Linked DNA regions of Oryzias latipes. The protein of the gene in region 5 purifies or fractionates together with the protein of the main gene of each other region. This does not show direct contact. Links are inferred from orthologs where the notes say so. Each region holds a gene or a part of one and is shown on either strand. Other genes may lie near its edges.

Region 1 (6,598 bases), on a different chromosome or scaffold from region 5:
AAATCAGTCTTAATATATTTATGCTACCTTTCAACACAACACAGTAATCATGTTTTGAAAAGTATGTTAAGTATTTAATTACAAATACATTTAATTTATTTTTGTTAAGGAAATTACAAAATGACAAAATGCTCAAAAGTGATTAAATACATGTAATTAAAATAGGTGAGAGCATGAACATCTTTTATTATAAATATTAATTTTTTCAGGTAGAAATGCATTTATCCAATAACGGTACACATAGTTGACTAACGTTAACCAAACACATTATGAACAACCTTACCTGTGTCACGTAGTCCTGATCCATCTTTACTGCCTTAGCTTAGCCACCGTATGCTAGTATCTTCACAGCATAGCTGCATAGACTGACGTTTGAGGTTCTGTCATATACTGACTCCCTTCTCAAAGGAGCAGTAAAGTTTTTCCAAGGGAAAATACTCCGGACGACACCACTCTTCAGGCGACGAACGACGCAGCCGCACCCCATCCGGAGCGAAGTTAGTAAGTGCCGGCAGCAGAGGGTGCTACCTGTGTTTACATTAAAACTATGCCCTTCATCTCTTCGCATCGCCTATATCCATTTGGGTTTCAGGTTTGGATCCACAGGAAAATAATGAAATGAAAAGTAAGGCTGTTTTTGGTAGGAAGACGAACAGCCTGGAACGCAACAGAGACTGCAACTCTTCGACTCTGCCATTCTTCATATCTGCTGCTACGCTAACAGGAAGTTGTTTTACACGTCATTGACGTATTTCCGGTCGAAAAATGCGGAAGTGTGAAAAAGGTCTATTACCACAGGCACCACTGTCACCTTCACTTTCCAGGCTTTCTCCAGTTCTTCTCTGAGTCTCTGGTATTTCTCCAGTTTCTCATGTTCCTTCTTCCTGATGTTCCCATCACTTGGCACTGCCACATCCACCACAACGGCTTTCCTCTGTTCTTTATCCACCACTACAATGTCTGGTTGGTTCGCCATTACCATCCTGTCAGTCAGTATCTGGAAGTCCCACAGGATCTTTGCCCTTTCATTCTCTATCACCTTCAGAGGTGTTTCTCTTTTTGACTTTGAGGTTTCCAGTTCATATTCTGCACACGTGTTTCTGTATATTATTCCAGCCACTTGATAATGGCACTCCATGTATGTTTTCCCTTGCAGCATCTTCAACCCCGCAGTTATGGTGTAAATGGCGTACACTTACAGTATATAGCGCTTTTCTACCTACAAGGCCCAAAGCGGTTTACAAACACAGACCCATTCACACACTGGTGGCGGCAGATTTATAACTGTAAACAATAAATCCTTGTTTATTTCTGAATAATGGTGTGTGTTTTGTCTATGACTTGATGCGTACTGATGGAATGCTGTTATCATACAATGGGTTTGTAACTAAATACAAAATTAAGGATTCTAGTAACTGTTATAGCAAAGTCTGTTAAGCAATTACCATACCTTTACTTAATCTTATTCATAACATATTACAATACAATGCAATCAAACCACAATTTCCAGAATTAATGGAAAAGTTAATGATATTCCCCTAAAAGATAAAAAAGGCAACAATAAACTCTAACCTTTAAACAAATAATTTTCTGCAACTTTAGCATAAACAATGAACGCGACTTAGAAACCACCCTAATGGACAAATCTTTTTCTTTATACACAAAGTACCCACTTCCACCTAAAATGAAAGAAACGCATTTTAAAATAATATCTAAAATTTACCCTGTTGGAGATTTTTTACATAAAAGATTCAAATTTCAATCAGAACCACGCATATTCTGTTCATCTGAAACTGAAACGTAGAACATCTCTTTTACAGTTGCAAAAATATTTTGGACTGATATTCACAGTTGGTTGTCACTCAAAGTTTTAAATATTCCCTTTTTTTCCTTATCTGATGTTCTTTTCTATATGAAAAATCTGGACCCGGGAATTTCTTTTTTTTCTATATGCGCATTTATAACGTTTGTTCACCCTTACTTGGTCTGTATGAGCATTTAAAAAAAACAAAACAACAAAAAACAACGTCATACCGAAATGTCACATACCAGGAAGTCGAATGCTCAGTTTTGATTGGTGGCTCACTGGACCCGGGCACGCTACAGCGTTTTGATTGGTGGTTTGGTTTCAAATGCGTGACCTGATTGGTTGTCAGAGGAAGTAGGGCTCGGTGATCTCAGCTGAATCCGGAACCAAGCCCTGATCGAAGGGCGAGAATTTGTTTCTTCAGCTGAATCATATGCAAGTATAAAATAAACGTCAGTTACCTTGTTTCGTAGTTTCAAATGTCGATTAAACGCTATTTTAAATATGCAACGCAACGATTTCATCGTTTATAATCTAACGCTTAGAAGTTAGCACGTTTAGCTAACACGTTAGCATCGTTCCGCTACGTGTTGTTGGGAATGTCACTCTGTGATGTAAAATTCCGTTAGCAGAACGTCGCTCTGGTAACATTGTTGTGGTTATACTATCAATATGTTAACGTTGCGGCTTCATGTTTGTCTATAAGTCAACATCTGCTGGTTAGTTAAATAAGCGTACGGGTCTTATGGTGTGCGTCATGTCAAAAAAAAAAAGCAGCGAAATCCTAACAGTTCTGTATATACTTTACTAGTCTGTATTATAATTTTGTGTGATGATTTTAATAAATGTCAGCTTTTTAGTCTGTGCGTTTTAGTAAGTTTTGAAGCGTGATTGCATTCTCCCTCCGACCTACATTTGGAGTTTTAGATTGAATTATTCATGTTAAATAACAGTTTGTGGCCTTTTTCAAATTTCCTTTTCTTTTTTTGCATGCACAGTTTTAGCTCAACATCAAAGCCAAGCCTTCCGCCTCAAACATGTCCTACGGTAAAGCGGAGTTCCGCCCTGTCCCGAGGGACTTTGGCTCCCTTATTCAGACATGCAGCTCCAACATCCAGAAGATCACACAGAACAGTGAGTCCTCCATTGCTGGGAGCTGAGACTCATTGTTAGTCACTGGCTCAGGAAGAAGTCATGTGAGAATGCTTACAAGAATCGTGATGATCTGCTGCTTAACTCAGGCCTGTTCAGGGGGGGAGATCCAGGTTAAGCAATCACATGGCTAATTCATCACAAGTGCTTCAGGAAAATACACTATTCTAAATGTTCAGGTTTGCTTCCTTTTTGAGATGTGTACAGTAAATAAGTGCTTACATTCTTTGGTACAAAACTCACAAATTAAGTTGCATTTTCTGCTGTCTATACAAGAATGGACACTAAACTATTTCTTAGCTCGTTTGCTTCTGCGGTTTGGATTGGTTTTTGTGTTTTTTTCTGTGTTGTTGTTTGATATCTGTGCACACAGATGATCCCTGAGTAAAGGTTTTGGAGATTAAGATTGTTTCTGTTTTCCTGACAGCCGCACAGATTAAGACCATGGTGAACCAGCAAGGGACAAGGCAAGACTCCAGTGAACTTCACGATCGTCTGTATGTCATCATTTCTTGTTTCATTTTTTTCTACCAGTTTTAATGAAAACACAGGCAGATGGAGGTTTTCTAGCTGGTTAACATCTGATGCAAATATCAGTGTTATCTTTGTTGGTAATAACCTCCTAATGAGGCTGAATATGAGACCAACACTGATGCAATTATTCAATAAGGCACCCTGACTTATGTTTAAGACAATATGAAAAAAAAAACTAACACAGCCAGTTTGCTTTACATGCATTTCTTGCACACACTGTTGTTAATCATATGTATTGAGAAGTAAAACCTTTAAAATTGTTATAATTCAGGCTTTTTGGTGACAAAATTTGGTTTCAGCTACAAAACCTACATCTACTGACCCAGGAGTCCTCCTGCTTTGCACATTTAAGTGATGCTGTGAGACCAGGAAGAGGTTAAATGACTGTTGCTGGTGGTTGTGGAGTAAACTTCAATAATCTCTTTTGTCTTCTGCGACTAAATGAATGTGTCACACTTTTTGATGGCGTGTTTTCACTTTGCAAAGAATTTTAAAATTTTGATTTATTTCAGAGCTGGTAGAAAAGCTCTATTATTTGATTTAAAAAAAAATACTAAGAAAATTAAAAATTTCAAGCTTTATTTGAATTGAATTGACAATAAAAGCAATTTACAGATGCATTAACAGTAGTGCATTACACATTGAGTGTGCTTTAGTGTGGAGCAGAATGGCTGGGACTGTAATAGCCTGAATCTGGGAAGCAGCTTCTTCTTGTGGCTGATGTTCAGTCCTGTTTTTATTGATGCACAGTTTTCTCTGCAGGCAGCAGATCCAGCACTACACTAACCAGCTTGCGAAGGAAACCAACAAACACCTTAAAGAACTAGGCTCTGTCCCTGCGCCTCTATCCCCCTCTGAACAGGTAAGTGGGAGTTTGTTGAAACGTCTGCATGAAGACCAAATCCTGAGTTTTTACCAAAACTGTCTCCCCTGACTGCAGTATTCCAAACACGGTGTGCAGCAGTACTTCAAAGTATTTTTGCAGCAGAAAGGTTTAACTGGAGGGAGATGGTTTGCTGTTGTGACCTCTGAAGTGATCAGATATTAGTAAAAGAAGGCGATTCTTGTAGTTGAGATTTGCTAATTTTTTGTTTTGTAAATTTTAAGCAGGAGATGAAAGCCGAGTTTATGTATAAACGATACAGAGGAAGCAGGGATTTTTCCTGAAAATCTTTAGGAAAAAATAGGAGTTAAGTTACAATGTTGCTGCTTGAATGTTGGAAAGTGATTGTCAGGATTGAACTTTAAAATCTTAACCGTTATCTAAATGCTTTTTTAAAAAGTGTCTCCTAATGTGCTTTGGGTGCTCTGCTCTGTCCAGAGGCAGCAGAAGATTCAGAGAGACCGGCTCATGAGTGATTTCTCTGCGGCGCTCAACAACTTCCAGGCGGTTCAGCGACACGCAGCCGAGAAAGAGCGGGAGTCCATAGCCAGAGCCAGAGCGGGATCCCGCCTCTCAGTGAGTGAGACTCAGGAATGGATTCACACAACACCAGGAAAAGTGTGGAAAACAACCACAATATTCCTTATTTTTCCTTTTACCTGTTAATCATCAGCATTTTTTCTCCTACTTAGGATTTTAATTGTCCTATTTTGAAAAGTCCCATAACTTATCTGATGATTCATCTAATCCAAATCCAGTTGTGTATTATTGTGACTATTTGAAGTCATGAAAGGTAGAAAAATCTTGTTTTATCAGAGCTGTAAAAATTTTAACATCCACAAATGAAATGAAAAGTTTAGACATGCTGTGATTTAGCAGTTTGGGGTGAAGACAATGGTTTTGTTTGTAGGAACAGTCTAAATGACATAAAACCACCCGTGTTTCTTAAGGGATGTTGTTTCTTCAACCTGCTGACTTAACTGGAGTCTTTGTGTTCTGTTTCCAGAATGAAGATGGTTTTCGGGATGAAAAGCTGGTTTCTTTTGATAAGTAAGTGACTTTCCTTCTCTCAGGGTTTACCTGTAGAAGGACACTTCTATACCCAAAATCTACATGATGACTTAATCATTTCAGACGTCAGAAAACAAGTTCATCTTTCTGAAGTTTTCAATGTCAGAACACCATTTCTTTAAATAAATGTTCTGTCAGGAAACCTTTTTATTCCTTTATGTGACATAAATAAAACTGTTGCACAAAGGATCTGATTTACTGTAACAAATCCAGTCCAGTTTTTCCTACAGGAACACATCCAAATGTTGAAATTCTTCCATCACCTCCACTCATCCATGAAATAAAAAGACTAGATATGATTGGATGAATGAAAACGTTGGTGCTGTGATGAGGATTTGCTGCGTTAGAGTTTGAAAGAAGAAAGAGAATGTTGCAAAATGTCATTTAATCCAATAGAAATCGAGTTATTAGTGGAAGAGACCATTAAAATGATTGTTTATATCTAAAAATGTACGAGAAAGAATTTGATAATTTGTTTAAAACAAGACTTTATGGATCCTGAAGTAGAAGATGTACTAAATGGTTTTCTAACATTCTTTAGAGATCTGAAGACACTGTTGTTGTTGAGTTTCTCCCTTAAAGAATTTGCTTAATAGTTTTCATCCAACAGACTCCTTATTAAACATTTAGCTCTAGAGTAAAGCCTACAAAAGACTCCCAGCTCTCTATATTAGTTAGTTTAGCCTCTTTAAGTCGGCTACTCTGCACCAGACGACGCTCAGAAGATATGAAACATTTAGCTACAAACATGAAATGAACCTCAATCTGCTTGAAAATCATTACTGTTGAATTTCCAGGTTAACACCAAGATATGTATGAGCCTCTACCTCAGCTCCCAAGTAAAAAGTGAAAGTGGGGTTTATTGCACCACTGCACCTACAAAAAAATCCCCACAATGACTGAATTTGGAATTGTAGTCCATAAAACGAGAACCTCTAACATTCCTGAATATTTTAACAAGAACAAAAGAATCACTCAGGTCACCTTGACTTCATCCTTACAGCAGTACCGTCAGCCTCTTGTGTGTTCATTTTTGTAATGCATAACATACAGATGTACTAAATATAGATGGAAAACAACCACTGCAGCCCTGGTTCATTTATCTGTTCACACAAACTTCCAATTCTTTGTTTTGTTCTGCCAGAAAATGA
Region 2 (6,064 bases), on a different chromosome or scaffold from region 5:
CAGATCAGATGAAACGGGTGTTTTTAATGTTTTTTAACATGTTATTCTGACATTCTTCTGATCATGGAGGACTTTAATGAAGCAAATGTGCCATGAGAGATGGTCATGTGTACTGTGGAAAATTAATTTTTACTGATATGTAAATCTCCATGATATTAGATCTGTGTTCATCCGAACAGGCCCTGATAAAACACTGAGTAGTTAGGAATATGAAAGATCATAAATATCTGTAGCCAAAACCAAAACAGTTGTAGGGATATTACTGGAAAATGATTGGTTCCTCTGGGTTTTTTTTAATGCACAACTACCTCCATTTCCACTGTCTCCTCCTTTCCTGCATCAACCTGATATAATTTGTCTGACGGGCTTAGAGGAATACTGTGGGAATCTTATTTAGCAATAACAGGTACCTGTTGTTGCTGGGGGGGGGGCTAAAACTCCCATGGAGGATGGAGGAGTTGAGCTGCAGGCAGATGTGAGTTGTAGGGCCTATATATCATGCTATTGTTACGCCTTTCAGAGTAAACTTTATCCATATATGTGATCATATATTACCTTTGGCACACTAAAGAATTATTTTTTTGATGAAATATGATGTATTTTCACGGCTCTTTTTCCTACTGGAAGTAAGAATTAAGGAATTCATATTTTTTATTAATTTCCTTCTATATTCTTTCCCATGAAATTTAACGTTCGGTGTGTGAAGTCCTGACTTTACAATTGTTAGGAGTTTGATGGCTAACTAACCATCTGGTTCAGTCAGTAGTTCTTTATTTTGCTGGTGACATGATTGGACTTGTTGTCATGCTACAGGTCAACTCACACATTCCACCTTCATCATCGCTCCAGGAAAAGAATGTAAACGTTTCCATCAGCGTTGCAGATGCATCCTTTCACGTTTGGTGTCGTTTACATGCTATGCCCATTTACATCCTTATCCTCCAGTCCTGTAGCCACTGACTTTTAACTCTCATAATGTGCCACCCTTTTGTGTTCTTATTGGATCTGTGACTCTGTCTTTTGTTTTGTCCTGTTTTATGTTTCCTGCCTAGGGACTATGGATGCAAATTAGCATCATTGCTATAATCCAGCATGTTTACGCCTATCATTGTTTGATAGATGTTCATTAATGTGCACTGTCCCTATTAAATAAATAAAAATAGACATCTATTTTTCGTCTACACATTAACTAGATCAACCTCAGGTCCTTGGGTTGCTGTCAAGTGTTTATCAAAAACTTGACATTTCTAGGTTTTACACCTGCAAAAAAAAAAAATATATATATAGAAATGGCTTTGATGTGATACAGAACTTGCTTCCTCGAATATATGACAGGTTGCTTTGAATATGCAAACATTGGAGAACGTGGGCCTTCACGCCTTTCCTAAAACAAAAAAAACAAAAAGAATATGCAGACCAGGGATGATGTTGGGATGATTCAGTTGTTGGTCATATCTGATTCAGAAGGATGCTTTCTGTTGGAACGAAGACTGATTATCAGTGTTCAGCATTTTTAGTGAAGTGATTGATTGATTGTGTTCTTAGAAACAAACTGACTCTATTTGTCAGAATAACCATTCTTGCTCTAATACCTTTTTTTTTTTTAAACATGTTCTTGATAATAATAGGACACTGTACAAAACAAAGTTCAAAAATAAACATTAAAAGTAGGGCTGCACGATATGAGGAAAACTCGCGATATGCGATATTAGTGATCAATATTGCGATGACGATATAACTTGCGATAAATGAACCACTAGCAAAAACAACAAAAACATTTCTATTTCCCTGCAAATGTTTAATTTAAATAAGAGTAAAAATACCTTAAATTATTCTCCAAATGACCCTGATCTAATTAGCAGGGCAACATCTAACGTAAGAGCTCCATCCTATTGGTCAAATGCCTAAAGGGATTTATTCAATTCATTAAATAGTTAAAGTTGCCATAAGATTGTTTTAGCACATTTAAAGTTTACCATTTATTGCAAATTTTCGCTGACTTTTGCGATCTGGATATTGCACAGCTTGAAATCGCGATAACAATAAATTTGCGATTAATTGTGCAGGCCTAATTAAAAGCACAATAAATGGAAATTGGCAACTGATAACCCTTTCTATGGTATTTGTCTGTGTAGTTTATGTTATTCCAAGTAATAAACTATTACTTATTTGATGCTTATTTAGATGCTTCAATAAAAGGAGGAGCCTGCTGGCCCCCACGTCCAACATTTCAAATGTTTGACAGATTTTGTGCAGCGTGCTGCAGACTCCCGATTGGTAGTTGGCTAAAAAATGTGGATTCAGTCCGACTCGGACCAATCACCGCTTACAGACGGCTCCAATATGGCGATCCCCATATTTCGAAAAAATTGACCTAATTTTGTCGGATTTAGAAGTGAACCAACTAGTACGGGCGACGTGGCACTCGCTAGGTCCAGGTTTCAGATGCAGCCACTGATTCTAACACGGTGAACTATGCCACAACAGCTGGAACTTGTCTTCCTGTGGGCCATGGCAAATAATGAGGAAACGACGATGTGAAATTCACACAAACTTAGCTTTTAACCCTCCTATGAGTTCAGGCCTGAGGATCACAAACCCCAAAACATTTTTCCCCTGACGTGAGAGCTTTAAGAAGACATTTCAGTATTTTAAACATTTTTCTACTGGCTGGCTCGATCATCTTTTGATCTATTGTCAAAGCGTTCCCAGTGGGTTATTTTACTTATGATTATGCCGTTTTTAGCCAAAATTATTTCTAGGACATAGTTTCCTTTGAAATTCTTCTCTGACTGTTGGCGTGGAGCAACCCCCTTTCCCGTCACCCGTGACTGAGAGCTTTCTGTTTATACGTTCTTCTGCTATCTGTCAGCCTCTCACACCCTCAACTTAACATGACGAGTGCAACAAAAGTGGCGAGCAATGTTGGAGCCATCCAGCCGTACAGTTTTGATCCAGATTCCAGATCAGACGAGGAAAACAAAGACATTCGTGGATCTATGTGTCTGCAAGTGGATGCATCAGGATGAAGTGGAGCAATATTCAAATGCAATTTTAATCTTAATTTCATTTATATATGTCCTCCTTCATCAGAAAAATGCCACAAGAAACCACAGACTTCAGCTGTTTGTTTCATTTTCTTTTAATATACAGTCTTAAATTGGGATTTTGAGTGTTCTTTAAAAAGGTATTAAAGATCCTTAAATTCTCTTTTGTAAATCTGTAGACTCCCTATTCTAATTCAAAAGGTGGTTTGCAGCAGGAGACGCTCTGCCTGTCCATGTCTGCTGCGATTTGACAGAGTATTCAGATCAACTGAGTGGTTAAACATTTAACCGGTCCCTTAATTTGCGTGCAAAAGCAACACAATAAGAAATGTTATCCCTCTGGACTGAGGAAACTTTTATATTTTCAAGCTTGGCGGTTTAGAAACAGCTTAAAGAGACGGCTCTGGTTTCCTTTTATTTTTCAACATGAGACCATTAAACCCCAGTTTTGTTTTTTTCTTTCCACCAGTTTATATTTTACCTTTTATTTTTGTTTGTTTTCTCCACAGAGGCCATAAACTGCTTAAACCGAGCAATCGAGATTTACACCGACATGGTGAGTTTCAAAGCTGCAAGCTCACTTAAAATGGGAAGAAAAAAAAAAAATCATAGGATGTGCTCCTTTTTTATTTATTTATATTTTTACAGTTGACTTTTTACCATTTTAGGGCCGTTTCACTATTGCAGCAAAGCACCACATCACCATTGCTGAGATTTATGAGACCGAGCTGTTGGACATCGATAAGGTCAGATTACAGAATATGTTTGTTTTATTTCTTAAAAAAGTGTTTGCAAAATAAGTCTGTCTTGACAAACAAGTGTAAGTAAAATAAATAAATACAAATAAAAACATCTGTAGAAACTGTTCCTGGCAACAGAAATATTTCAAGAAATTACCATTAAAGTACCAAGAATTTATTTTAAAGTATAAAATACGTATTTTTTGGAGAATAGGTCATGGTGGGTTTTTTGTGCGTAGTTTGGCTGGAGGTGTGATTTATGTGATATTTTTGAAATGAATAGCAACAACCACTAGAGGGCGCTATAGGCGTGCCAGTACTTGCCACTGATGGAAACGCAGAAGAAGAAGCACCACTCAGTTTTACTCCAGACCAAAGCGACGCAAAGGATGAAAAATTGAACAGATTTAGAGATTTAAAGTGATTTGAAGAGATTAGCAGACTTGTCGGCATGTTTTTTATGATATGGTTGATGAAATATCCATTCTTGGTTAATTAAGAGTCATATATATGTATATAAATATTTGCACATACACTTTTATTTTGCCAAACATATACGAATCGTTGCATTTTATCTTCTAAAAGACGTAAATGTTTAATTTTCTAATTAAATAAATCAAATTTGAAGAGAAAATAAATATTTAAACAACTTTTTCGTTGCGAAATTATTTTTTTTTACATTTTTATTTACCTTTTTCTTCTTTTCAATTGTTCTTTTGATTTACACTCTATTTGAACTCTCCACTGCGGCGTGCAGTTGCCCAGTTTCAGGGTGGACACTCTACCTCCGTGCCGGTGTTTGAACCCTGTATTCACAAGTGTTGCACAGCTTAATGAAACCAGTAGAAATGTTAAACACAGTCCTGTCATCCACACTCTTAGAATTTTTTTTTTTTTTTTTTTTTTTTTAAAGTTGTAAAAATGAAAAGCATCTGGGTTTTACTATTTTCTGCATTTAAAAGATGACTCTTGAAAAAGAAAAATGTTCACCTTAAACCTCTATGCGTTATTGAGCACAACATGAGAGAAATAATGTGAACCTTCGGCTTTAATCATCAAATCAAATCAAAACTTTATTTATAAAGCACTTTGCATATAAAAATACAACACAAAGTGCTTTACATTAAAACACAACAAAATATAAAAACAAGCATGACGATTAAAATAAACAAGCACAAAAATTAAAAAATAGGGCCCCCCTCCCCGTACCAAGCACCCCACTCCTTTCACTCCTCCCACCCCCTAACTGATGGGGAAAGACAATGAGAAATCATGACTGTTTCAGTGCAGCAACCTTCTTTCTGGTGTGAACCGCTCTCCTGATGTCACACTTCTATGGAGCCAAAATAGTCTCACCTCATTTGTGTGTGAGCAATCCTTGATTTGTAACTTGTGTCTGCATGTTTGTGTGTAACTTTGGATTTGTGTGTGTGGGCGTAATCCTTGATTTGTAACTTGCATCCAGGTTCAAATTTCTTGTTTGTTTTTTTTTGTTTTGTGTCTTTTGTTGACGTGTCTTCTCTGGACTCTTCAGGCGTCCTGCTTACCTCGTTGAGCGTTCTGGACTCTTACAGGGACACCAAGACTTTGAGCTGAACTCTGTCTGCAGACGGTCTTTTGCAACTTTGCTACGGTGGTGGCTACGGTTCTAAACCTTAGGTTATCCAAGAGCTCTTTTGTGTGAGACGTCCAACAATGCAAACGCAGGACTGTGTTTTTATAGTGCAGGGCAGTGCTTAGAGCAGCCATGAAGCTGCGGGTTCACACACGTATCCCGTCCCACCGCATGGGGGATGTTGACACTTGTTTTAGTGGTTTTTGCTTGATCAGATGGTGTTATGACTTTGATCATTATCCAACTGCATTTTGTGTTGTAATCATTGACTGTTTACAGGAATTGGCCTAAGTAATCCCTCCCCCCTGGCATTCAAAACAGGAAGTACCTCCTGGTTCCTAGAAGCCAAAATCCCGTAGAAATAAACAGTCATTCTATTAGTAATTAACTGCTCTTTTACCTTTTTCAATCCTTTTTTTTTCTCTGTAGTGCAGGTTAATCACGTTGTAAACTGGCCAATCAGATGCTTCAATGAAAGCGTGTGGTACTTACTGACCCCCCCCATGTCCAACGCTCAAAATGTTTGATAGATTTAGCGTAGCCTGCTTTCAAGAGGTGGGGGTGTGGGCTTCCAACAAGCTCACCTCTGATTGGGGAGAGCGGTTGCCATAGAAATGTTGACTCAGACCAATCACTGCTTGCTGATGTCGTCTGGCTCCATT
Region 3 (6,064 bases), on a different chromosome or scaffold from region 5:
TGGTGTCTGGGTCCATCAACGTTCTCAAGAACATGTCTGAAAGAATCGGCGTGGAGCTGGACGAACAGGCTGAGTAAGAACCACAAGCTGACCCTTTAAACACATTAATGCCAAATATGACATCACCCATTTGCCAACGTCAACACCTGATAATGGCTGACCGTTTATGAATCTGCTGTGTTGTGATGGTGAAATTGTGGATTAATTATAAAAAAATAAATGTAAATACTTTTTTTAATTAAAAATAACAAGTCGTTCAAATGCAATGCATTGAAGTCTTCCAGATTTTGGAATAGTAGATTTGCCCAGCACTACAGAAAGTGCACTGTGTAGAGAGCAGTGAAGGAGTTCAGTCACAGTCTAGGGGTCTTGATCAGTGCTGCTCACTCCTGGTCGTCCTACCACCCCGTCTAGAAAACCCAGTTTTCTACATCTCTAATCCCTGCTTGGTTAACTCAGTCAGGTGCTTCCACATTCTGATTGAATAAACACACCTGGTTCAGGTAAAAGGTAGCATGATTCGGTTCATTTAGAAATGAAGGACTCAATGTGTTGCTGAGAGCTTCAAGACTTACCAGATAACAGCTGTAACAGAAGCTCACTTCAACAGCATATAAACAGGTCAACTTCGGTACTATATGTGTATTACACAGCAGATGTTAGAAGGAGCCACAAAGTTAAATTGTTGCCACAATCAAATAAGGGAAAAATAATTACAATTTTGCCCCTCTCACGATGCCGTTGTGGAAAAAGGGCTCATCAAAATCTGGTTTTGGTCCTTCTTTGCCAAATTCTAGTTGTTAAGCTATAAAGACAGGAACTGTTAAATAACAAATTTCTTGTTTTATGGTAATTGCACATCATGTTCTTATTGTGAAAGGGCCGGTTGGATGGGATGGGTCGTTGTTGTGTTGATGATGGTGGAATGAATAAAGAAAACGTTACGCTGCGAAGTGAATTTCAATTTTGTTTAACATTGGTAGCAGGGGATGATTAGCAACTACAGAGTCCTACAAACCTTTGACGAAGGAAAACCGTACAAAAGTTGGAAAAAATAAGTTGGACCCGAGTTACAGACCTTGAAAAGAAGAAGCAAGCACTCTCCGTTCCTTTGGCGCTTTCTTCTGGGCAAGCGAGAGACGTGGCGATAGAAATATCAAAGGAGGATTTGCTCAAGGACACAGGACACGTCACTAATAAAGCTAGATGATCGGTTTCTCAAAGAACAAAGACCGGACCTACTCAAGTTTGGATAACGAGAGACAGTAATGTATCCGTGACGGATTAGATAATTGATTTTGAACAGCGGTATACTCAAATGTGTACATACAAGAGGGATCTTCCGGATGCAGTATGAGCATTTTGTTATGTGTGAATAGATTTAGTGTCTCTTGGATGCTGTGCTTGCTGAGTACAGCAAGACTCATCTCTGTCAGCAAAAGAAAAAGATCTGCTCACGCCCAAGATTGGACAAATTCTCTGGGTTGCAAGGCAGAGTCGACCAAAAGTCTTGTTTGATGCTTTAAATCCATGAAACGAATAGAACGGTGTGCAAACTGAAATCCAGTGAGGTGGCTCTGAACTTTGAGCTTCTAGGCAGGGACTCAGCCCTCAAGATGAGGGTGTTCAGTGATGCCTCATTTGGCAATCTTTCAGATGGAGCCACTCAAGAAGGAAACCTGATAGTTCTAATGGGAGAACGTGGAAAGTTTTCACCGCTCCCCCTCAAAGAGAGTGAACAGAATTGTGAGGAGCACACCTGCTGGAGAAACACTGGCAATGTCTGATGGAACTGACAATGCACCGTTTGCAGCAACACTGTTCTCTGAACCAACGACTGAACACGCTCCACCCATAATCTGTGTCACAGATTCACTGGCTGACGCACTGAAGTCTGTCTGGAAAAAAGTGCCAACTCATCCAAGCAGAGTTGAGCGAGTGTTGTGGTACAACGTGAAAGAACAACTTGCAGACTGCTTTACCAAAAGGTGCATCTGTTAAGGCTCACTCTCTTTACACCTCCCTGTTTTTGGGGTTCTGGGATTGGAGCTCAGCACAGAGAAAGCATGTTCCTTAACACATTGCAAACGCATAGTAGAGTCAAACCCAAAGAAGTTTAATCTGGATGCAGCGGAGCTGTCAAAGAGGAAGGCCTTCATCACCAGCACCAGACATATGGTCAGGGTAAGCCTCCGCCACACCTCAGATGTGAACTCGCTTTGGGAGGAACCCCAAACGTCTGCAGCACGGTGGTCTGGTTCCCTTCGGTTTGGTCAGTCTGGTAGTTCATTGAAATAGTTGAAGACCAATGGCTCCTCCAAGTACAGCCCTCAAAGATTTTAAAAGTAGAACTCATCACATCTGGAGAGAATGGTGGCCTGACGCTGGGCAGCATAACAGACCCCTAAACTAAAAAGATGATCTTTACTGTTCAGCTGTTTGCACACATAATGAATGATTATCCTTTAGAAAGCATCCCCTCCACAGGAACACATTTGGTCTGGAAAGGTTTGGTTTGTTTTTTAATAGCAGCAAAGACATCAGTGGGATAATGTCACGTGTCACGATTCCCTAACAAGGAATACTTATTCTAAACAAAACAACATGTTACAGCTGTCTGAATGGTGGGCCTGACAGAGTAAAGAGGGAGTTTTGTTGAGTCCATCTAAAAACAAAAAACAATACAGAAAGGAAGGCCTTCATAAAATCAACTTCAGTGATTTTACAAAAAATAAAGCACAAAAGATCTTTCAGACAAGACGGTAAATATATATTTTTAACGTCTTATTTTAACACTATATTTAACTGAAAGCTGATTTAGTTCTGGGGAACTGCAGCTTTTTCAGGAGTGCTTCAGATTTACGAGGGGGGGGGGGGGTGCTATAGCACAGTTTACATCAGAAATCTAACCATACATGCCCCATTAGTTATTTTCTTAACACGGATCAGTTGTCTTGGACTCCTCCAAAAGGTGCATCTGCATGCTAGTTACCTGAAGCCCCGAGTGAAGGACAAGCGGAACTTAGTTCATGTTAAATGCAGCAACAGCAAATTCAGTGTTGTTAAAAAAAAAAAAGGCTCGTCTGGATCTGTGGGCACCCCTCTGGGGCGGGGCCCGGTGTTGGGCCCTCCTGGCGCGGTGGGGGGGCTGCTCTCCTGGTTGGGGTGGGGCAGCACTTTCTTTCCCCCCATGCCTCCCTGCTCTCTGGCTCTGGGGGCCTCGCGGCGGTCCTGCTGGTCCTGGCCTGGGTGGCGGATGTGGTCGCCCGGGGGGGATGTGTGGCGTTGGAGGATTCTGGCTGCCGCTGCTGCTGTGGCGGGGGTCTTGGTGTGGGGGTGGCTGGGCACTCTCCCTCTTCTTTTCACATTCCACCGTCCATTTTGGAAGAACACAAACACTCACCTGAGCACAGGTGTTAGCTCACCTTTGCACTAATAGTTTGCGTGTCGAATGAAATATAATTTCACACTAGTTGGTTTGAAGTCATAGGTATGCGTGTGTGAACACTATCTGTTTTGTGTACATGTTGACAGGTGGACATTTTTACAGCTAACAGGTGTGTTGATAACATTTGAGTGTGCGTGTGGACAGGCCCCGCCTTTTGAGATTTGTATTCTATCTGAACCTTACTGTAATGATAAACATCCAGTAACTTGTTGCTTTATGCCGCTTTATGGTCTCACCCCCCCCCCCTCCTTTAATCACCCCCCCCCTCTCTAACCTCTAACATCCCTCTCTCTTCTTCCCTTCTTTCCTTTTCCGTCCGGTCCAACACACAAGTTTTTCAAATATGATTGAAATTAATAAAGTTCGGCCTCGATTACAAAAGGGGTTTATTCAGACATACCTCTGGTTTGTCAGAAGATTTATAACCCCTCTTGTTAAAGTAAAATATGTCCAACACAAGAGGCCCTCAGCTCTCATCTGTTTGCCCAGCTGTTGGACAGGACAAGTTAAAAAAAAAAAAAAATAAAAAAAAAATAAAAAAGAAGGTGAGTTTGAGCTATAAAGGCAGGGACTGTTAAATAACAAATACTTCTTTATTTGTTTTATGGTAATTGCACATATGTGCTCTTATTTTGAAAGGGCAGGATGGATGGGATGGGATGGGACATTGTTGTGTTGATGACAGTGGAATGAATAAATGTAAGCTAAGAGGTGAATTAGAATTTTGTTTAACACTAGTGACCCTCTGGGGGGGTAAATATCCCGCTCATGTTTAGTGTGCTGAACTGCTGCTGCACAGAGGTGTAACAGGCTGTGCATGTACTCGTACTTTAGTACATTTTTACTTGAACTACGAACATAAATGTCTGTTCATGACATGACTGATAAAGTTGATTTTAAAATGAGATTAGATGAAACTTTTTATCCACTTTATCTTAAAATAGCTTTATAAAAGCCTTCTTTTCAGCAATCAGCCAGCATTTAAGTCAGGAGCCGTGATAATTGAAGAACCAACCATGGTCACAGCATCATGAAGAAGCTACAGCGTCCTGGCTAACCATAACCCTCTGTCTCCGGTTCACCTGTGGAGGAGAATCAGAGACGGAGAGGAACAGTACTGTGACATGGTCGTGGTGTCTAAAGGTCCCTGTTTGCCCTGCTGTATATTATGGTATGGCAGCGTTTGTATTCTGATGAAACGTGAAAGTAAAACCAGATGTCTGCTGCTGCTGTTGATGTGTGCGTCTGTGTGGTTCCTACCGCAGAATGCTGGATGATTTCAGCCATGAGATGGACAACACACATTCAAGACTGGACAATGTCATGAAGAAACTGGCCAAGGTGTCACATATGACCAGTGGTAAGAGATCTGCCCGGCAACCAGATACAGCGGTGCTGCTTCACACATGGTTGGTTGTCAATGAAAGACTCTGCTGCCTTCCTGTTGTTGCAGATCGCAGACAGTGGTGCGCCATTGGCATTCTGCTTGCTATTCTTCTGGTTGTCGTCCTCCTCTTCTTCATCCTTTGAGAAAAAACTCCAAGTCTTATGTTTTCTACTTGACTGGCCCGGGTGTTGCTGTACCGGACCGGACTGAGCGTGACTGAAAGCTGTAAAAGGATTCATGTATCGTGGTCCGTCATAACCAGGAAGTGTTCATTTTCCTCATTTTAGCAGTCTAACTGAGAATTAAATGTAACAAAGTCAACTGTAACATGTTCATAAATGCTGACAAATACTTGTTACTTCAGAAAAAAAGCACAGCCCAGTTTTCAAGAATGACCTGGTTTGGAGTTTCAGTAGCTTTGTTGGGTGGGCTAATCTGACCCGTTGACACTACCTTTCCTTGTATCGTGGTTTTGCTTAGACGTTGTTTGTAGCACTTTGTTTTTAAGTTGTTCTTCAATACATGACAAAAAAGTGTTTATTTGGTCATCTTTTTCATTTTGTAACCCTTTTTCCAGTACTGACAACAAAATGCGACAACACTTTGTGTCCCTTTGTATCCTTCTTTGTTTTTCAATTTAAAACATGTCATGGGAATGTGGACGTATTTTGTGTGTATATGTGTGTGTGTATGTGTGTCTGCTGAGAGCAAAAGTTGTAATTGTAGTAATTTTTAAGTATTATTAACTAAGTACAATCAGAGATGACCAATTACAAACCTTAAAATGATCCAAAAACGTATTTGACAAAATGATGCAGAATGAGAATAAAGGCATTAAGTTGCCTGCCCATGCAGCTGTGTGGTCCAGGTGGACCAGTCTCCACATCACTGTGAGGAAACTTTGGGGAGAAAATGTCCAAACTGCTGCAGTTCTCCCTTTGCTCAGCATTTTTCTCTCTAAAAAGCTCCTCGGAATATTGAAGCAGGTTTTTAGGGGAAGATCTTGACAGACCGTTTGAAAGTTATCCTTCTGGAGCGAAGAGTTGCTGGAGCGGAGGCCACTGCTCTTCACCCCCCCGCTGCTGTCGCGGGGAGACCCGCTGGGAGACCCGGACCTGTGCAGCAGCCCGTGGTCATCATGGGAGACTCTGTTGTCCGGCGTGTCCGGGTCAGCAGGTGCCACACACACTCTCTCTCTGGAGCTGTCGTCAATGACATTACAAACTCTG
Region 4 (6,563 bases), on a different chromosome or scaffold from region 5:
TGCTTTTAGAGAATAGCATGTATTTAGTCTTATTTGAGTTTAAAACCAGTTTTAAATGATAAAAAGTGTTCTGCAGTTGATTAAAAGCTGATTGGAGCTTTGATATGGCAAGCTCAACTGAAAGTGCTGAAGTGTACAAGATGGTATCATCAGCATATAAGTGCAGGTTATCGATGATACCTTTATCAAGGTCGTTTATATAGATTGTAAAAAGCAGTGGCCCAAGAATCGAGCCTTGTGGAACCCCTGCGGATACTTTTAAAAATTTTGATTTTTGGTTCTGAACCTTTACACACTGTGTCCTGTCAGACAGGTAGTTTGCAAACCACCCAACAGAATGCTCTGACAGCCCAATACTGCGCAGTTTATTTTTAAGCACAGCATGGTCCACAGTATCAAAGGCTTTAGAGAGGTCGATGAAAAGGGCGGCACAGTGGCGTTTGTCATCCAGAGATTCAGATATGTCATTTAAAACTTTAAGAGCTGCGGTTGTTGTGCTGTGTTGCTTTCTAAAACCTGATTGTGATGGGCTTAAAATATTATTTGAAATGAGAAATTCTTTTAATTGTACGCTTATAAGACCTTCCAAAACTTTTGCCAAAATGGGTAACTTGGAAATTGGTCTATAGTTATTCAAATTTGTTGGGTCACCACCTTTAAGTAGAGGTAACACATAAGCGGACTTCCAAGCATGCGGAATGGTGTTTGTGGACAAAGACAAATTAAATAAATAGGTCAGTGGAAGTGCGATAGAGTCTGCTGCCGCTTTTATAAAATATGGTTCCAGATCATCAGGACCAGCAGATTTAGTAGGATCAAGGAGTTTAAGGGCTTCTGAGACTTCTGAAGTTGTGAAGAGGGAAAATGAGAAATTATGTATTAAATCTTCGTGATTCACAGGGAGGGAGTACTCAGCTGAATGTTTTATAGAATTAAATAATGATCCAGAGGAAACAAAATGCTCATTAAAACATAAAAGCATCTCTGTCTTGTCTGTTATATTACAAGTGTTTTTCATTATACTTGAAGGGAGCTCAATACCTGAATTATTTTCATTTAGGGACTTAACTATCTTCCAAAACTTTGAGGGATTATTTAAATTTTCTGTAGTATTTTTCAAAAAATGGTCAGATTTCACATTTCGAATTGCAGTAGTGCAAGCATTGCGTAGTTTTCTGAATGCCAGCCAGTCAGATGCATTATCAGAATGTCTAGCTTTTGCCCATGCTACATTCCTTTCATGTAGTTGGTTAGCCAAATCTGAGCTAAACCACGGATTATTACGACCTTTCACTTTATAGTGCCTGATAGGAGCATGTCTATCAAGGATTTTTGTAAATTCATTATGGAAATAACTCCAGGCCCTTTCAACATTATCAATTTCCATCATCGTGTGCCAGTCAAATTCATATAGTTCTTGACAAAAGGATTGTTCACAAAATTGCTTGACATTGCGTTTTATGATAATGTGTGGTTTGGTTTTGGGCATTTTTGTGTTTCTCGATGTAGCAATGATACAGTGATCACTTATATCATTTGCAAATACAGCAGCAGTTGAATACTTTGAAGGAGAATTTGTAAGAATCAAATCAATTAGCGAGGATTTCTCCGGAAATTTGGGGTTAGGTCGAGTAGGATCATTTACTAATTGAAAGAGGTTCAGGGAATCACAGTAAGATTTAAAATCATCAGAAACAGCTTGCAACCAGTTCCAGTTTAAATCTCCAATTATTACAACTTCATTGTATTTTAAGGAAGACAGCAGTTCCATTAAAGAGGGAAGAGCAGAGCCATCAGCAGAGGGCGCTCTATAGCAACCAACTAGGGTAATATGCAGAGAATTAGAGATCTCCAGATCAAGAGCTAAAAGTTCAAATTTCTTTGCCATTGATGTTTGCAGAAGAACTTTTGCATTAAGTTTAGTTTTGATATAGATGGCTATACCTCCCCCCCTTTTGGGACGATCAGCCCTAAAAACATTATAACCATTGATATGTATGTCAAAGTCAGTTATTGATTTGTTTAACCATGTTTCAGAAACAACAATTACATCTGCTTCAGTTGAAATTGCCCAAATGCGTATCATATCCATTTTAGGCAATAAACTCCTTACATTGAGATGAATGAATCCAAGACCATTACGAGATTTGAAGTCTTCAGGAGTACTAAAAGTAGGACTATCTGGTCCAGGGTTTGGTGGAATATTCCCGGAGATTAACAACAATAAGAAGATGAGGCGTCTTTGAAGTTGTGGTTTCTTACATACTGCATTTGAAGGTCCTAGAGATGGGAACGTTTTTAAGAATGCTATAGTAGAGTTTATAGTAAAATTCTTCTGAAGAACCATTACACAGCTGAGGTGCAGCAGTTCATTTGGATTGTCTGAGAGACACACAGATGCGTATGCATTATGACATTCATGAATAAAAGTTTTTGTTCCAGCATGAAATACACAACACACTGGATTCACTGGACGGGAGTCATCTGACTCCCGAAGAGCTACGGCAATGCCAAAGTCTCCGATGGAATATAAGGCCAATGTTAGCAGGAAGAATATTTCAGCCCTTGATATTATTTGCCGGGGGCTTTGAAGGAAGGTATTTAAAACTTTGGCCATGGCAGCCTTCAGTCCAGATATCTGCCAGAATCCAGTTCGGGATACACCGAGAGCCGTTTTTTTTTTTTTTTTTTTTTTTTTTGTTTTGTTTTGTTTTTTGTCAGACGTCCTCCCGTGACGTGCCACACAAACAGCAAGGAACACGGAGCTTGAAAGCTGCGGGCAAAAAGAGCGAAATTACTGCCCAAGCTTAGTTCAACTTTAAATGGGTATAGATCACACGATCCGAGGGTTGAATCAAGCACTTTCCTTCACACAAAGATAGCAAGCTCATCAACCAGCCAAGCGCTCCTGGATCTGCTTCGGATAGGGCATATCACACAGGTGCTAGGAAGGCAGGACGGCATCAGCATCTCAACTTTGGCAAAAATATATACAATAGTGCGCCAGCTTCGATAGAAGGTAAATTGGGACTTCCCTTAATTGATGAAGTATAAGGCCCGTCAAGGTTAGTCACGCCAGGAATCCAGCGACGATCACCCGGTGATAATCTTCATGATGACCGCATACAGTTCATGATCGTCGAAAAAATAAAAAATAAAAATAAAAAAAATAAAAATAAAAAATGGAGCGTTCCTTCGAATATCAGTGAACCAACCCTGGTTTTGGGTCTTAATGAATCGAGTAGGCTTTGACTCACAGAGTTTCGGAGCTAGCCTTTCTAAAAACAAGCACGGTAATTGATAAACAAAATACCATTCTCAGAAAGGCCAGAAACAACTATAAATTATAATCTAAAATAGCTTAAAAGTCGTTAAGAAAAAATAAAAATAAACTCATTCATTCACAGGACGCTAACAGACAGACAGAGTGCGTGCTGCCATCTTGGCGTCTCGACCTGTGCACCAAATAAAAATAGGACGCCCAGACATGGATAACCAGGGGGGTATTCCAGGGAGCATATTAAAACTACCCTGACTTTAATCCTGAACTCTGGCTGAAATCCGCCTGAACTTGCTTACTCTGGGTATGTTGGTTCCAAAAGACCGGATATGAGTTAGCGTAATTACGCTCGACTTGGTAACCCTGGGTTAATGCACGTGCACAGCAAGTACATAAAGACATTCTCAATGGATCACCGATTTCCGGAGTCACCATGGAAACGCGTGGTGAAAAAAAGAGAGCGCTACAATTCAGTGAGACGGAGTCTGAGATTAATGACGGCGTATGAAGATTATAAACCCATCAAAAAAGTAACACGGCTGCATCATCAAAAGAAAAAAGGAAAAAAAAGAGTTTCTGCTTGCAGAAAAATAACGGACAAAGTAAAAGCAATAGTTTCTGATCTTATTTCTATTATTCTTGTGACGCATATATATATATAACTTATCCAACTTAAATGAATTACTTATTACTTTATTCAACCTAATTTCTTACGTCTATCCAACTCAATATTTCTTTTTACAACTCAAATTTACATATTTATCTAACTAAATATCATATTACTCCAGTTTAATTAAATGTTTTTCAATCTTAATTTATTGCAATTCTTGAACTCTCCTATGTCTAAGAGGCTGCAGATTTTCTCATTTTTATAACAATAAAATGAATGAAACAAAATGGAACCACATTATGAAGTCTGTTCTCTGACTTAAATATTCCTCCACTGGGCAGTAAAGGTTCTAAATAAACTCGTGATCCTCTTCCTCCCTCTCCCTCATGGTGCTGAAAGAATTAAACATAACAGGGTAAAATAACTTGGTAAAACACATTAAAACAGCTAAACAACTAAACACATTTTGTCAAAAAACCACACTTGAACCCAAATCCGTCCAGACAGGCAAAGTGAATGGTATCCCACAATCCCTTGCGGTGCCGATCTAACAGCAGCACCAAAGTTACACCTACTTAATTGAATTAATTTGAATGAAAGTAAAATAACTGATAACTACGTGTTATTTTTAAGCTGACTTAAAAATGATTTCTCTTAACTGAAGCACATAATTAAGTTAGATCAAAGTAAAAAAGTTTATCTTTCCAACATCCATATGTGGTCTTATCACCATTTCACTGTGGAAAAAGTATTATCTGAGCTTCTTCATCCACTAAATCATCTTCAAATGGACACGCCATGCTGCTTCACCTCTCTGAAAACAAACTAACCTTCAACTAAACCTGCTCCAGACCAGGTTATGTTCAGAGCATGAGTTGCCATGGCAACTTGACATACCCTGAAACATACCTCTGTTTTTGGAACTGAAAGCTGAGGTTATCAACTTCCTTAGCCTCAAACTTACTGTGGTAGCTCACATAACCTGCTTTCTGGAACAGGGCCCTGGGCTTTCAGTAGTGCTACGTCTGAATCACTCAACACCGCATAAACTATTTTACGATGCAGAAACGAGCTTTGCGTTGCGTATTGATAATTCCTGTAGCCATGATAAATGCCTCTAAATAAACTGAATAAACAAAATCGTAAACAAATCTCTTTTTTTGCAACTACAGAAAGTAAAAAGCATTGAAAATAACACGTGAATAATTAACACGATTCAGATATTTTTAGGCCTTCAGAGAAGGCCTTGACGACCCACCACTGGACAAACGTCATCATCTGATCAGTGATGATCTAAATTACCAACCTTTCTTCTTTTGTTTCATTTTTCAACATTTTATGTTGTTTTCTAAAACTTTTTTTTTCATTCATTCTTTTCCTTTGCCGTTTTTCCCTCTCGGGGTCACTATCCCGGCCACTTGTGTGTGAAGGCATGGGATGTCCTGGACAGGTCGCCAGTCTGTCGCAGGGTAGAATTTTCTAAAAAAAAAAAAATGTTTTAAATAAGCTTTGGTTTCAGGATTTGTTGTGGTTTCTAAAATCGATTGTTGTTTTTTTGTTATCTGTTTTCTATATTTGTTGTTGTTATGATCTTTAATATGTTTTTGTGTTGATTTGTTGGTGATTTCCCCTTTAGGGCAAAGTCTTCTGACCTGCGAGAGCCCCACCATTAAACAAACGGGCAAGATATGTTACTCCCTTCCTGACCTGTAGGGGGCAGCAGAGTGCGTCTCCAGTCTTCTGTGAAAGAAAGAAGAAGTAGAAAGTGCCTAGGAGCGGGCGTTCGACTCGTTTGCGTGTTTGTACGGTCCTATCCTTCCTTTTCCTGCATCCATGCAGACCGCAGGCGGCGGTACTCGTCCTCTCTTCGGGGGGTCCATGTCCGCTGTCTTCCCCTCAAACGCCACGGATGTCAGCGTCTTTAGAGACATTCCGGACAACCAGGAGGTGTTCGCGCATGCTCACACGGACCAGAGCCTGATCGTGGAGCTGGTGGAGTACCAGGCCGACGTGGCCGATCCGGACGCTGCCAGGTTCCACCTGGAGGACATCGCAGGCAGCAACGGGGCTGTGGGCGCTTCCGAGGTGACCGGCGTGCTGGAGCTGCCCAGAGCGGAGCTGTCTCTGGTGGAGTGCAGCTCCGCGTGGAAGGCAACGGGCGCGCAGCGCGTCGCCAAGTTCAACGAGGAGACCCGGAACGCGGTGACCGTACACCTGGGCGTGTTCCGTCTGCCGCAGTTCTCCACGGACGTCCTGATAACCTTCAACGACCCTCAGAGCATCAGCCCCGGCAGCAGCAGCGCAGCCTTGGCGGAGGCGCACCGAGAGCCGTGGACGCTGCAGGACTTCCAGCGCCTCCTGCAGACCGTCACTCTGAACGACCCCGGCCTGTTTGGCTAGAATCTGCTGGGCTTTTGGACAATCTGATGGATTTTGCGTGACAATAAAAGCTGAACCTGTTGTCAGAGAATGAATTTCAGCTGATGCTGGAAGGCTTGTTGAATACTGATGTGTGATGCTGAGAGTCCTTTCAAAAACAGACCCGTAGAAACTAAGTGCGTGACTGCAGCTGAATCTGTGCTGTGTTCAGAAACATGACAGTGACACTAACTTAGTGTCCCTGCTCTGTTTTTACGGTCCTGGGCAGAGATGGCGCCTGAGACTGAACTGTCA
Region 5 (6,667 bases):
CCGCCTCTTCGCCCTTTTCTGTGTCTCGGCACGCCATGATGACCCGAGCTCCTGAGAGACCAGCAAAACCGACACGGTAAGGAGACAAAAACCCATTCTGTGTAGAGTTCCAGCTTTAGATGAACTGATTTGACTGCGATGTGGACTCAGGAATCCGTATGTGAGAATCTAAATGAACCACGAGCTTCTAAAACCTCTTTGCTAGAATCTAAAGTAGCTGCTGTTACAAATTGATTCTTTATTGAAGATTTTGTTCATGACCTGTTTCTTTCAAGTCCCACCAGAGAGTTTGAACACTCTGCTGTGCTTTGGGTCTTTGCTCAAGCTTTGACTTGAGGACTTGGGGAAAAAACCTGAGCTTTAATATGAGGAGTCAGAGAGAAGACCTAAGTCTAGACTCCAGGAGTCGGACAGAAGACATGAGCTTGGACTCGATGACTTGGGCAGAAATACCTTAGCTTTGAGTCAATTTATTGGAGGAAAGACCAGAGCTTTGACTCAAAGAGTTGCTGAAAGGACATGAGCTTTGATTTGAGGAATTGGGGAGAAGACCCAAGCTTTAACTCGAAGAGTCAGAGAAGACCTGAGCTTTGACTCGTGTGGTCGAAGAGAAGATCTGAGCTTTGACTCGTGTGGTCGAAGAGACGATCTGAGCTTTGACTCGTGTGGTCGAAGAGACGATCTGAGCTTTGACTTGGGGAGTCTTAGAGAAAACCCGAGTTTTAACTGAAGAAGTTGGGAAGAAGCCCTGAGCTTTGACTCGATGAATTGGGAAAAACCCAAGCTTTGACTTGAGGATCCGTTGGAGAACATAAGACCCGATGACGAACTCAGGAAATAAACCAGATTCTTGTCAAATTGAAAATGGATTTGCAATTTGTGAAATCATCACCCTTCCACCCATGACAGAGGCCCATGAGTCAACGGTAGCTACCCGAGGCCTGTAGAGGCTGATATTCCTTTGGTCTGGTCTTGAGGTGAACTGGCTGAGATGTTTGTCCCCCCCTCCCATAAAATGATGTAAAATCAAGAGTTTTGTCTGAAATGAGGTAATCTGGTTAAATTAAATGTACCACCAGTGTAGTGTCTGCCCTGAGACTGGGAGGTTGTGGGTCTGAATCCACGGTCTGGTCATAGACACTTTCTTTGGATTGTGAGGGGTGACATGTTGATGCAGTGAGACCACTAATAGGACTTGGACAGCACCCGGGTCTCCTCGGACCCTACTCACCTCTCAGGGCCAGGTCCAGCGCGGTCTCCTTCCCGATGCCGGTGTTGGCTCCGGTGATGAGTACCGTCTTCCCGTCCAGGCGGCTCGCGGTCCTGCACGCGGCTCCAGCTGCATATCTTCTGTTCAACAGAGACAGCTGTTTTAACCCAACCCGGAGCGGCACGGCACGGTTTCCGTCTGAACGAGTGATTTCTCTGAGCCACACGGGTTAATTATTCATGGACAAACTTGGCGGAACGGCGCGGATCGTCGGGTCGAGCGACCCACGCCACCGAACGGGCCCGCCCCGCACCCAATGGCCCCGCTCCGCTTACGCATATTAATTGGACTCCTCCCACGTGCGGGCACCTGATAGGCCCGAGCAGCTCAGACGGAAGGCGGCCGCCTCATCCCGGTGCTCAAACGTTTTTCTGATTCACTCAAAATTCCGTCACCGTTTAGCGGATTTGAGACAAAACTCACACCGAAATCAAAGCGGCTGACTCAAATAAACACCTCTGGGGTTAAAAAGCAAAGCCAGCCTCCGTGCTGATGACGTCACAGCAGTGCAGGTACCGCGATGGGGGGACAGCGGGTCCCCGCTGCAGCTCACCGTATGTGCGGAGCGAACAGCAGCAGCAGCAGCGTCACCACCCCGATCCCCGCGATGATCACCAAGACCCACATCTGAGCGCTTCCACGGGCCTCTGCCTCCGGCCGGACGTCAGGGATGTGTGGGCAGAGCGGGGCTGAGCAGCTGATGTCAGGGCTGGAGGGGCGCAGCGGCACCGAGAGCGCACGTGCAAAGGATTGTGGGATTGTAGTCATTGTTGTGTTTTGTAGTCCTTTACATTGGAGGTCAAATACAAAAAAAATGTTGTTTTTTAATTTCACGTAGCAGCAGGAAAGATTAGAATGAATGCCAAAAGATATATATACAAACTAAATGTGTTTAAAAAACAGTAAGAAAAATCGTAAAGGATGAGTGAGAAACGGTTCATTATAAAGGAATACAAAACTATAGTTTAATTTAAGAAATGTAATGCCAGAATTCGAAGTAAAACATGGAAAAATGTCAATTATTGTAGATTGAATTTTGTAAAAGAAATTGGAAAAAAAGACAAAAACATATAAACACAACAGCTAAATCTAAATCCTCCCACAGCCTTATATTTTGCAAAAAAAATTTAAATAAATGTATATACATTTATATGATTTATTATCATTTGAACAATTATTATTATTATCACTAGAATCAATTACCATTTAAGTTGCCGTTATCACTTCATAAAACTGAAAGCTGCCTCTGGTTATTTCTGTATAACATTTATTTAGAATATCTATTGCATTATTATACGTTGTCCTCGAACAAAATAAGATAAAACATTCAAATAATATTAACTTTTTAAAAACTAAAAATGCATTTTCAGCACAAAAACTCAATTTGTAGTGAAGGTTTTATTTTATTTTTACAAATATCCTTTTATTTATTAAAATAATAGTAAGTTGAGTAACACATATACCAGTAGGCCTATTTGAATCAGTTGCAAAAATTGAATTATAGAAATCGCATCTAATTTAATTTTAATTGTACACATAAATTTAAATCAAAACATTTTCTTTCTTGTAACTAAAGATTCAATTTAGAACTCTTCTGTTTAACGAAATCAATAAACTACACTTCCCAATTTCCCCTGGAGCCAATGTTAGGTGTCTATTTAACTGCCTGACTAGAAATCTTTACTCTTTTCCCTTTTAAAATTCCGATAAGCAATATTGTGTGATACAGTTCATAAAAAATAAATTTAAAATGGTATCTTTAACACTATTTTAATTTTTAAATGTGTAAAACACAACCGATTATTTCATTCTTTTACGGAATTTTAGTCCTTTTGGTCACGAGGACCATCATGCGGAAGAATCCCGGGTTCTGATGATGAAGGAAGCAAAACAAACAGATTATCTTAACCTTTCCACCTACAAAAAAACCTTTTAAGACTCTTGAATATATCTATATTCAGGAGGAGCAATAATAACTGTATTCAGGAGGAACTATCCGGGTTGATCCCTGAGAAATGTCGTCGGAGGAATTCGAGAAGTTGCAGGAAATCTACAGATCTTTGTACGAGGAGCTGAAGTTAATTCCTGACAGAGCCGCGAAATGTCACGGAGGTAAACGAGGATCATGTTCTTTGTTGCTCATTGTGTTCTTAAAATCTCACTAAAAAACAAAGTGAAAGAGGTTTCATTCAAGATCATTCATAGGTTTCATCCAACAAATCAGTTTATGCAAAGGCTAAAAACAGAAAAACTGTTCTTTCTGTTTTCATTTGAGGAAACGTTGTTGATGCATATTTTTTGGGACTTGCATGGAAAAAACATCTTATTTGGTTTCATTAATTATGATAATAAACATTCGTCTTAATTTGATTTAACGAATCTCCTGATTTTACTAAGTATTTTATTCACAAAACTAAATTTAGCAATAAAGCTCCCAATTGTTTTGATTGATCGACTTAAATTAGATTTTACTAACAATCCATTTCCCCCAATACAAACAAAGAAGCAATTCATACTTGTCATTTTGCTCAGGTTTGTCATTTCATATAACTTTATTTTTGTATATTTATCCCTCTGGTGTTTATAATTGATGTACAAGGTAATGGTCTTTATTATTTACTGTACGTCTCCTGGGTTATGAATGAATAAAACTAACAAAATCTCACTCTGATCATCTTTTGATCTATTTCCAAAGTCGTCTTAAATTATGATCATGTTTTTTTTTATTTAGCCAAGAAGCTGTGTCGTTTTCTAGGACAGCAGTTTGTTAGAAATTTGCGTCAGAGTTGTGGGCGGGACTGTCGGCAGGAGTAAGCCCACCCCCACTTCCCGTCACCCGTCTGTTTACACGCTCTCCTGCTTACAGCCTCTCACACCCTCAACCTGACGTTACAGGTGCAACACATCGCAAATATACGTTTTTCAAACTGCTTTTTTTTCCGTCCGCTCCCGATTCACAACGATTTGAATAAAGAATTACTCAGAAAGGCAGTTATAAGCTACATGTTATACATGTCCCCCATCGTTTTCATGGCAGTGGGTGTTTGAAAGGATGGATGGATGGAAGGAGCCTCTGTAACCTGTGTGCTCTGGTCTGCAGAGGAGAGGAAGAGGCTGGTGAGGAGCTTCGATGAGCGGCAGGGAGAGGCTGAGGAGGTGGTAAGCAGATGTCCTCCTTCCTGACGGCTCACATTCATGGAGTCATTTTGCGGTTAAACACAACAGATGGCACATTCATTATTAAATATTAATTTTTAAAAAAGGCTTTGAAAAAATCAAACTGGGGTTTTTGGTGCTACAGTCAAGAACCAGCGAAGACTTGAAGTCAAAGTTCAAATATTTGGTTGCGTTTCACACACAAAAATAAGAATATTTGATCAAATTTTGTTCATCTCTTCCTGTTGGAGGGAAAACGAGCTTCTAGTTTCACATGAAGTCATTGTGCGTTTATCAGCTGATTAACCTTTAATTTCTTTTTTTCATACTGTTTTTACATTTATTTGAAATGAACAGTGTGATTATGGTTACATGGTTTGCATGCAGCTTTAAGTTTAGTTTTCTATTTTAAATTTCTTTTTGTTCTTTTCATTCATTTGAAATAAAAGAAAAAAATGTTTTATTGTTTTTTCCCCTCTTTTTTATTTTTATTTTTTACAGCAAACAATACCAAAAAAAAGAAAAGCAAAGAACAACAAAACAAACAAATACCCTGCAGATTTTACAATTAAATGTTCAAGTAGAGGTTGACTTGTCTATAGAAATAATCCATTAATGGTTGCCATGTCTCAGGTGTAATTTCTTTTTTAACTGAAGAGTTAATAATTCCATTTTTCTTGAACCTTGTCGGCGTTTCTATAGTCGTTTCAGACGCTAAAATCCATCTTTTTGATCAAATGGACTTGGATTTTCTCTCACAGTTGCAGGGCATGGAGGACGAGCTCCGTGCGGCGCCGGCGTCCTACAGAAACGCCATGAGCACCAAGCTGCGTCTGTACCGCAGAGACATCGGCAAACTGCAGAGGGACATGAAAACCTTTGCTCCCGGCTTCGGCCCCGCCCCCCTGACGTCTCACGGCGACCGCCAGGGCCTCTATTCACCCGAGAACCAGCAGAGTGTGAGTGTGGACCTTCACGCCTCACAGGTGTTCTGGAAACCTCCTGACTTCCTGTTTGTCCCTGGGGGGTGCAGACACACCTGCAGTCGCAGAGGTCGCTGCTGCTTCAGGGGACGGACTACCTGAACAACGCCACGCAGAGCATCGAGCGCAGCCAGCGCATCGCCGTGGAGACGGAGCAGATCGGTACAGACATCATCGAAGAGCTGGGGGGGCAGAGGGAGCAGCTGGACCGAACCAGAGACAGAGTGAGGCCGCCGCCTCCTCCTCCTTTCCTCCTCCTCCTTTCCTCCTCCTCCTTTCCTTCTCCTCCTTTCCTTCTCCTCCTCCTCTTTGTCCTCCTGCTCCTTTCCTCCTCCTCCTTTCCTTCTCCTCCTCCTCTTTGTCCTCCTCTTCTTCCTCCTCCTCGTGTTCCTCCTCCTCCTTTCCTCCTCCTCCTCCTTTCCTCCTTCTCCTTCTCTTCCTCTTCCTCCTCCTCTTCCTCTTCCTCCTCCTCCTCCTCCTCCTCCTCCTCCTTTCCTCCTCCTCCTTTCCTTCTCCTCCTTTCCTTCTCCTCCTCCTCTTTGTCCTCCTCCTCCTCGTGTTCCTCCTCCTCCTTTCCTCCTCCTCCTCCTTTCCTCCTCCTCCTCCTTTCCTCCTTCTCCTCCTCCTTCTCTTCTTCCTCCTCCTCGTGTTCCTCCTCCTCCTTTCCTCCTCCTCCTCCTTTCCTCCTTCTCCTTCTCTTCCTCCTCCTCTTCCTCTTCCTCTTCCTCTTCCTCCTCCTCCTCCTCCTCCTCCTCCTCCTCCTTTCCTTCTCCCGCGTCACTCGTTTCGTTTCTTCCTCTGTTCAGTTGGTGAACACGGGAGAGAACCTGAGTCGAAGTAGGAAAGTTCTGCGGGCCATGTCTCGGCGGTAAGCTCACCCACCACTCGGGTTGATTCAAAGGGTCACGTGTCAGTCAAAAGGGCCACGCCCCCTTTGTGCCCAGCATTTATGTACAGTACTTTAAAAAAACATAAAAGCACATAAACATGAACACAGTCAAGAGTTGGAGAACAGGAAGAAGAACAGGCTTTGGATCCAGACTATAAAAAGTCTCCCTCAGACAGCCCTCAGGTGTGGAAGCACACCTGAACGTCTGAGAACGAGGGCGTGTTCACTCTCAGCGGAGCGAGGACAATCGTTTTATTGAAGCAGAGTATTATGGGTAAAGCAAGAACTGCTCATAACACAAGAAGGTCACGCGTGGTAGAGTGTCCGCCCCGGGAATGTCAACAGCTGTAGAAGTTTATGGGATTTTGG

The links.
Region 1: the proteins of vti1b (region 5) and stx12 purify together in Homo sapiens (affinity purification with mass spectrometry; 3 studies listed by BioGRID and IntAct, counting the BioPlex papers as one, with this or other methods). This does not show direct contact. The link is inferred for Oryzias latipes from reciprocal best matches to the Homo sapiens genes VTI1B and STX12.
Region 2: the proteins of vti1b (region 5) and napa purify together in Homo sapiens (affinity purification with mass spectrometry; 3 studies listed by BioGRID and IntAct, counting the BioPlex papers as one, with this or other methods). This does not show direct contact. The link is inferred for Oryzias latipes from reciprocal best matches to the Homo sapiens genes VTI1B and NAPA.
Region 3: the proteins of vti1b (region 5) and syntaxin-6 purify together in Homo sapiens (affinity purification with mass spectrometry; 3 studies listed by BioGRID and IntAct, counting the BioPlex papers as one, with this or other methods). This does not show direct contact. The link is inferred for Oryzias latipes from reciprocal best matches to the Homo sapiens genes VTI1B and STX6.
Region 4: the proteins of vti1b (region 5) and vamp4 purify together in Homo sapiens (affinity purification with mass spectrometry; 4 studies listed by BioGRID and IntAct, counting the BioPlex papers as one, with this or other methods). This does not show direct contact. The link is inferred for Oryzias latipes from reciprocal best matches to the Homo sapiens genes VTI1B and VAMP4.

What each region holds. Positions count from the first base shown.
Region 1 is NC_019869.2:17,749,197-17,755,794, reverse strand, and holds the start of stx12 (syntaxin-12), read left to right. Parts: upstream 1-2,126; 5' UTR 2,127-2,242; exon of another isoform or gene 2,243-2,259; intron 2,260-2,805; 5' UTR 2,806-2,844; coding exon 2,845-2,941; intron 2,942-3,386; coding exon 3,387-3,456; intron 3,457-4,255; coding exon 4,256-4,355; intron 4,356-4,814; coding exon 4,815-4,952; intron 4,953-5,382; coding exon 5,383-5,426; intron 5,427-6,598. UniProt on the Homo sapiens protein: SNARE promoting fusion of transport vesicles with target membranes. Together with SNARE STX6, promotes movement of vesicles from endosomes to the cell membrane, and may therefore function in the endocytic recycling pathway.
Region 2 is NC_019871.2:5,023,690-5,029,753, reverse strand, and holds part of napa (alpha-soluble NSF attachment protein), read left to right. Parts: intron 1-3,556; coding exon 3,557-3,603; intron 3,604-3,715; coding exon 3,716-3,793; intron 3,794-6,064. UniProt on the Homo sapiens protein: Required for vesicular transport between the endoplasmic reticulum and the Golgi apparatus. Together with GNA12 promotes CDH5 localization to plasma membrane.
Region 3 is NC_019862.2:1,651,936-1,657,999, forward strand, and holds the end of syntaxin-6, read left to right. Parts: coding exon 1-73; intron 74-79; exon of another isoform or gene 80-1,988; intron 1,989-2,971; exon of another isoform or gene 2,972-3,063; intron 3,064-4,713; coding exon 4,714-4,808; intron 4,809-4,901; coding exon 4,902-4,978; 3' UTR 4,979-5,486; downstream 5,487-6,064. UniProt on the Homo sapiens protein: SNARE promoting movement of transport vesicles to target membranes. Targets endosomes to the trans-Golgi network, and may therefore function in retrograde trafficking.
Region 4 is NC_019862.2:3,863,497-3,870,059, reverse strand, and holds the start of vamp4 (vesicle-associated membrane protein 4), read right to left. Parts: upstream 3,579-6,563; 5' UTR 1-3,578. Other genes in the region: rangrf (ran guanine nucleotide release factor), read left to right, coding at 5,724-6,290. UniProt on the Homo sapiens protein: Involved in the pathway that functions to remove an inhibitor (probably synaptotagmin-4) of calcium-triggered exocytosis during the maturation of secretory granules.
Region 5 is NC_019880.2:1,874,110-1,880,776, forward strand, and holds the start of vti1b (vesicle transport through interaction with t-SNAREs homolog 1B), read left to right. Parts: upstream 1-3,077; 5' UTR 3,078-3,285; coding exon 3,286-3,382; intron 3,383-4,307; exon of another isoform or gene 4,308-4,330; coding exon of another isoform or gene 4,331-4,370; coding exon 4,371-4,429; intron 4,430-5,187; coding exon 5,188-5,385; intron 5,386-5,459; coding exon 5,460-5,633; intron 5,634-6,215; coding exon 6,216-6,277; intron 6,278-6,667. Other genes in the region: retinol dehydrogenase 12, read right to left, coding at 1-51, 1,232-1,350, 1,824-2,038. UniProt on the Homo sapiens protein: V-SNARE that mediates vesicle transport pathways through interactions with t-SNAREs on the target membrane. These interactions are proposed to mediate aspects of the specificity of vesicle trafficking and to promote fusion of the lipid bilayers.